Danio rerio: one gene and its partner. The protein of the gene in region 2 purifies or fractionates together with the protein of the main gene of each other region. This does not show direct contact. Links are inferred from orthologs where the notes say so. Each region holds a gene or a part of one and is shown on either strand. Other genes may lie near its edges.

The links.
Region 1: the proteins of nfkb2 (region 2) and chuk purify together in Homo sapiens (affinity purification with western blotting; 4 studies listed by BioGRID and IntAct, with this or other methods). This does not show direct contact. The link is inferred for Danio rerio from reciprocal best matches to the Homo sapiens genes NFKB2 and CHUK.

The regions. Positions count from the first base shown.
Region 1 is NC_133188.1:28,592,281-28,595,942, forward strand, and holds part of chuk (inhibitor of nuclear factor kappa-B kinase subunit alpha), read left to right. Parts: intron 1-951; coding exon 952-1,079; intron 1,080-3,662.
Region 2 is NC_133188.1:25,863,721-25,867,482, forward strand, and holds the start of nfkb2 (nuclear factor NF-kappa-B p100 subunit), read left to right. Parts: upstream 1-1,391; 5' UTR 1,392-1,571; intron 1,572-1,962; exon of another isoform or gene 1,963-2,027; 5' UTR 2,028-2,066; coding exon 2,067-2,083; intron 2,084-3,762. UniProt on the Homo sapiens protein: NF-kappa-B is a pleiotropic transcription factor present in almost all cell types and is the endpoint of a series of signal transduction events that are initiated by a vast array of stimuli related to many biological processes such as inflammation, immunity, differentiation, cell growth, tumorigenesis and apoptosis.

The DNA of each region.
Region 1 (3,662 bases), about 2.7 Mb from region 2:
AAGCTATTTTGAACTATTAAACACACAAGCTGTGGCTGCCCTGTATAGATAATAAAATTCTGTTGTTTTAAACCTCATTAGAGAATCCTAAAAATATACATGGTTTCCATAAATATTATGCAGCACAACCATTTTCAACATTGATCAATAAAGCTTCAAATGAGTATATTAGAATTGTTACCCGTTACACATACTTAAAGTTGTAATTACCATAGTTTTTGACATAATCGCATGCAGCTAAACCTAAGCCTTTTTCTAACTCTAACCATTGTGTAACACTGAAGATTTGAGTACTGATGCTGAAAATTCAGCTTTACCAGTAAAGAAATTGAGCATATTTTAAAATAACACTAGAGTATAGGAGACTTCTTTCAGCCATTTCTGCAAATCTTTCTAAACCCAAACTTTTCATTGATGGAAGATGAGTTGTAACAAACTCTACTACTGAGATAGTATACCCTCACAGCCTGTTAATGAATACTCCATTTTTCCACACAATGTGATTGACCATTTTATACAAATTTAAAGAAGAGATGCAAGTATTCTTTTAAACTATCTTTTAGGTCATCTTTTGTTTGTTTTTCTGTCTCAGTTTCTTTTCAGACTACAAAACAACAATCCAGTTCAATGTTGACACCTAGTGGACAAACTAAGTACTGCAAAAACAATTAAAAGTGCATGTGAACTGTGCATAGATTACATGCATTACGCTTATGCTGTGCTAAATTCTTGTATCACTGTATGCAAACAGTAGCTTTACATGTATTTATTTATTACCATTAAAAATGTAAACAACTCAAACTACTTTTATAAAATACCATATGTTGACTTTTAAATTCTAATAGGAAGAACAATTTAAATACAAAGCAGTTGTCAAATAACCACTATATCCACAGCTATACATGTTTATGTTCTTTACATAATCAACAAATGTAACTGGTTTGTATTCAGGCACAAAACACCACACGGAGCTCAGTGAGTCAGAGCGGAGAAATGCCCTCCTCGCTGTCTACGTGGAACCAGACTCAAGCCCAGTGTTCCTCCCGTCTCCCCATGTCCTTGCAAGTGCCACACGAGGGGTATGTTTTTCTTCCAGACCTTCTTTTTTATGAATTATATATATTATAATATAGAATGATCAAATTGTTAAAACAATGACGTAATTAATCACGCTTTTTTTGTAATTAATCATGATTAATCACGAAACGCCATATTTATTACAGAAATAAAAACACAGGCATGTTAGTGCCTTATGAATTTCAAAACAATCACTGCAAATAACAAACAAAAATGATTTCCTTGTTGGATTTTAAGTGGACTACATACACACACGCACAGAGCAGCGCACACGGTGAGCGAGGAATCCCTTCAGATTCATCAACACGCACAATCGCGTTCATCACATTTGCTTTAACTAAGCATTCTAAAGTATGGCTGTCTTTTACATGCAAGGATTCTGACACAGCAACATGAAGACGCTTTACAAAAGTTGCGTGTAGAGGGGAACACGTCACACTTATGAAATGTGAGGGCTCATGGAAACAGCTTGAAGCCAGAGAATAGGGCTGTCTTTGACAGTTTGCGACTTTATCTGCCACTTTCACTTGATATACATTTACATGGACCCCAATACTCCGCTTTTTAAGATAATACTGATTAAGAGTCTACCATGTAAGCAGCGATTTTTGATTACCTTAAAGCAGGGGTGGCCAACCCTGTTCCTGGAGATTGCAACCCATGTCAAACACACCTGCCTGTAATTATCACATGGTATTCAGGTCCAAATTAATTGGTTCAGGTGTGTTTGATATGGGTAGCAACTGAAATCTGCAGGAAGGTGGCTCTCCAGGAACAGGGTTGGCCACCCCTGCCTTAAAGGATCATGCAAGTCACGGAATGCAGAGGCTTTTCTTTTCGTTCGCCATGCAGTATCAAATTCCATTTAAACATCCTGAATGAAAATATGCTGAATGAAAGTGAACTGCTGAACTGCAGTTAAAGTCTAAAGATTAAAAATGAAACACCCGAAATTGCATGAAACTCTGGAGGAAATGCTGGATAGCCTGGTGATGCGACATTAATTGTTTTAACTGAAACTTGGTCTTATCCAAATTTCTTTGCATGATAAACACACGCAGGGCCAGAGCAAGTTGAGCTTGCGCTCAAGGCAAGCGGCAATCACGCCACCCTCAACCCGAAAGTGAAAAAGAAAGTGGCCGTTTCGCAGATGTACACAAGGACCGTGAGGGAGGGGGTGGGTGTAGCAGATTAAAGTGAGGACTGGGGGGTTCGCTCACTATTCTGCTGCCCAAGGCGGCCGCCTAGGTCGCCTCTATGCATGCTCCATCCCTGAACACACGTCGGCCACAACACGAAATATACATACAGAAAAATATACATTGCAATATGTGAAGGCATCATCACCGGTGACGGGTAATGCTTGAATTATAAATGTCTAACTGTTGTCCTAAGATGCATCAATCACATCAGGTTTCCACTTTATTCTTGTACTTAAATGGTAAAGTTTGAGACTCCTGCTTTAAACTCTCTTGGGCCTGAATGCTTACACAGTCACAGCCTTAAAAAAACACATGCAAAGGATAAACCTTCACTCCATTAGTTGAACTCTGCAGTGAAAGCCCACAGGTTTTAAACTGTGGCTCTTAGTCAACTAAAATCCCAGCATATGATTTCAACATTGCGATGTGATTATTGTAGTTACGCACATTAAGCATACACCCGGCGCAATGTGGCGCAAGGCGGGGTGCAGTAGTCTTTTGGTAGTTTCAGCTTGGCGCAAGAGTCGTTTTGAGGCGTTGCGCTACGCTGTTTAAATAGCAAATGCATTAGCGCTCATTTGTGCGCCCATAAGCGTTCTGGTCTAAAAAGGAAGGCGCACTGCTGGCGCGTTGCTATTTTAAGAAACTATAATAGATTTTTCATTAGACCAAAACTAATTCGGTCTAAACTCCGGCGCAGAGTTGTGCCTCGCTTACACACGGCTTAATACGCACAAGAGAGCAATAGGCAAATATCTTTACATATGAAAAAATTTAAATATTAAGGATATATATAGGATATAATAAGAATAGATATAAATATAAAGGATTAAAATATTACGAAACATATTATTTTCTAGCCTACATACATATGAAAAACCACTGCTTTTATGTCTTCTTCATCTCGGGAGGCTTTTTCAGTTCATTCATAACAATTTGCTTTTGTATAATGGTATTATTATTAGCAGTATTATTTAATATATCCATATTTATATTTGTTTTATTAAAAACAAGCTTAGATTTGCCCACCTGTCAGGTTTAAGACCATATGAGGCACAGCATGTGTTTTAGGATATAACTCAGGTTTTTGAGCACATTTTGTTATTATTGTTCATTTATTCGTTTGCTGGAAATTAGAACTGAATTTAGAAATAGTTTTGAAACGAATATTTGCGCTTAACAAACAAAATTAATTATTTATAGACTAATTGATGTCTGTGCGTAAAGGTTTCCCTATCCAAGAGAGAATGTGAAAGTAGATCCATTATCTCTCATTCTCACGCAGTAGATGCTCTGTTTAACAGTTTTCTGTTAAAAAACTGTCAACTGTTAAGTGTTTGCTTGTGAAATGCTCATTTTTTTCCACTTAAACTTACTTTGCGT
Region 2 (3,762 bases):
TTGACGTCAATGTGTTCAAGCAAAAAGATCCGAACCCAACACGATTCATTTATTCAACTATGAGTCGACTATTTTGTTAAAGAATCAATTTTTTAAGCATGATGCACTTTCAGTTTTAAACCTCAGCTGGATGTTTTCATTCAATTAGTGCTGTGTTAAACTCCGCATGAAAGGTCATTTTCAAAAACACATAATAGGGGCGATTTAAGAGACCACTTGTCACTTCTTTGGATTCAGACAGTTTATATACAGTTGAAGTCAGAAATATTAAACAAAATTATTAGCCCCTTTAAGCTAATTTTTTTTTCCGATTGTCTACAGAACAAACCATTGTTATACAATAACTTGCCTAATTACCCTAACCTGCCTAGTTAACCTTTTTAACCTAGTTAAGCCTTTAAATGTCACTTTAAGCTGTATAGAAGTGTCTTGAAAAAGATCTAGTCAAATATTATTTACTCATCATGGTAAGGATAAAATAAATAAGTTTTTAGAAATGAGTTACTAAAACTATTATGTTCAGAAATGTTTTCAAAAAATCTTCTCTCCCTTAAACAGAAATTGGGGAAAAATTAAACAGGGTGGCAAATAATTCTGGGGGGCTAATAATTCTGACTTCAACTGTACATTTTAGACAACAAAATAATAATGTTTTAACTTAAGAAGATGAATTGGTAAAATAATCTTTACCACAGCAAATGCATACATTTGTCATCTGACCAATTTTCATTTTCTGGAGATAAAAAAGATGCTCTAAATATGCACTAAGTAATAATACTTTACATAATTTGGAAGGTTCAGCCAGTTAAAGAATGAAACCGATATTAACATTTTGCTCAAACCCAAATCTTTAAAATCCAGAAGAACTGAAATTTGCAAATTGAAACTACATATACAGAAAAGTTATATATTATTTTTAGGTGTAAATGTTAGGTTGAAATACATGTTTTTTCTTCTAAAATAGTAGAATTTTGTTGTGAGTATATTGGCCCTTTAGTGTACTACTTATGTACACCCAAATGTTTTAAGGGCTCCTGTTTAGTCTCTAGTAATTAAACCACAATGTTGGTTAATGAAAATATAAAATAAGTATAATCTCAGACTGTATTGTGATAGTCGATAATGAAAACATTTTTACACATTATAGTATAAAACATGTTGTATAATGTTATTAACTAATCAGAATTGGCATCAGAATTTTTTGTCAAATCATACAAAACTTTGCTTTTGACCTTTAGTTTAGCATAACTGGATTTCATGAAAGAAGCAAATAGACTATTTTGAGCCGGAAGTTTTGAAGAACATGCAAATCTGTTCCGCCTCATAACCAATCTAAACTCCCCTCGCACGTCATGTGACTGGAATTCCCCCCGAGTCGGGGCTTTCCACAGTAACAGAGCGATCAATTTGTGAACGGATCCAGGCGAATACAGCGTTGATTACATGCTCTGGATTCACTGGATAAACGATGTTTTGTTTATGGTCTTCAAACCTGTGAAAATTTATTAACAGTGTTTAGTTGACTCGACGACTTGTAAAAACAACCCGACAACTAGTAAACAAGACGCAAGGTTAGTTTGATATGCAATCATGCCAAATATATATTTGCATTAGTACCGTAGATTTTTGTTGTAGAGCATGCCTCTTTTTAAACAGCATGAAAATAGTCTACTTTCTGTTTTGGAAATAAGGATTTAGTTTCTTAGTGCATCTATTTTAAGCTTGTTTTGAAAACGTTACAATGCAGAGATGCTGTACAGTTCATATGATGTCGAAGGTATAGCTAACGTTACAGTGATACTGCAAATGCATAATTAACAATTATACAACAATGGTTAGTAATATCAGTTATGTGTTTTGAGTACTGCACAAGATTTGTCCCATATGTTTTACTGCTGTTCGTGTTAGTCTGTGGGAAATTCCCATCAAAAGTCAGATGTACTTTTTGGATCTGACTTGCAGGGGAATCACAACCCCATCATACAGCGTGTAATCACTCATCAGATCCATCTTTTTCGGTCTGACAGGAGCCCAGGTTCGGTTCGGATGATCCTGGAGAGCACAGAATGGCTGGAGCACTAAGGTACAGTTTTATCCACTATAGCTGTTTCATTTTCTTTTGAGCTGTCAACATATGCAGCCTTTTATTGGGCATGGCTGGCCATTTCATCGTTTAGATGGTCATAAATGCTGGCAGCTCACTTGGTCATGAGACTATGCATGCTTTAAATTATTAAAGGTTTTTATCAAAGGTTATTACATTTGTAGACTATTTTACATGTCGAAACAGATGTATTTGCAATATGTAAATAAATAGGGGGTTTAGATACAACAATTAACCATTACTATTGAATTGCCATTCAACATCATGTATGGAACAGTTGAAACAGTTTTTTTTTATTTTATATATATATATATATATATATATATATATATATATATATATATATATATATATATATATATATATTGTGTCTATTTAAAAGATTATGGGAAGGTCTTTAATGTTAAGAACATTAGAATGTGTTTTGTCCATGAGACACTTTTTTTATTTGAGTGTCAGTAAATAACAGTAAAATAACAGACTAAAATACCTTTTTCTTATTCCAAAACTTTCTATGTTTAATTAAAAAAAGTAATTAGATGTCGGTTTACATATATATTTTAATTAATTAATATTGTTGTTAGTATTTTATTCAGTTGGATTATGTAAAAAGTATTCATTTCAAACCATTTTGTAGTCATTCTAGGCAATTTACTGAGGCCCCTTGGTGGACATCAGGTCTTTGTTGTTTTATGTCAAAACCATTTTAACATTGAGAATTTGTCTTCTGCTTTAGACTAAATGTTATTGTCATTTTATTTACCTATTATTGACCTTTTTTTAAATAGTTGTTGCTTTGAATTATTTCTGATCACCCCAAATGGTTAACCTTACTGTAAATGTAACATTGTCTCACTTTTACATATTTTCTTTATGAATTTACCTGTTGTTCATATTTGACGTTATTGTAATTTAGGGGTTGTTTGACAAGTGAAGATGCTATCATTTCAAAGAAGAAGGACAGGATGTGGTTATGATCCAGTAGAGTTTTACTCTCTTTTTTCTGACGTCAAAACTCACAGTTTAACTCAAACTGAGCCCTGACACCTCAGAAGGAAAATTCACAGTTTACTTCGCTAGTTTTCCCATGGTTGTACGTGAAGAGTATCTAGTATTGTAGTGCAGTCTTGGTACAACTCATCCTAAAGAGATGGACATGGACACTTCCTCATTCCTGTCAGTGGCAGGCTTAGAAAAAACTTGTGCAATCATGCTATCAAGTGTAATGAGGTGTAACTTTATTTCTGTCATGTGTTAAAAGGATCATTTTTTAGATCTTCATCAGAATTTCTATTTGATTTACAGAGGAAGTGCTTGAAAAGATTTGTGGCTGACTAACAGATGGGGGGCAGTCCCTGACTTTCACCCCATTAACAGTTCAGTCTAAGTCAGTTCCGCAGATTGTCCTAATGAGAAATCTGTGTATTTTCAGTAAATTACAGATAGGTGGATTTTTGGATTTTCTTCAACAAAATAAGGCTGAAAAAGGTAATCATAGGAATTTTGTTTCAAAAGTACCTCAAAAGAAAGGAAGGGAATTAAAAGAGCATTTGGAAAGTTGAGGAAATTCAGATTTGAGAAGGTTGATGTCAGCATGTGAATATTCTTGTACCTGCATTTCTCTGAATTTGACATTAGTGGCAGTAGTGAGCTGGTAT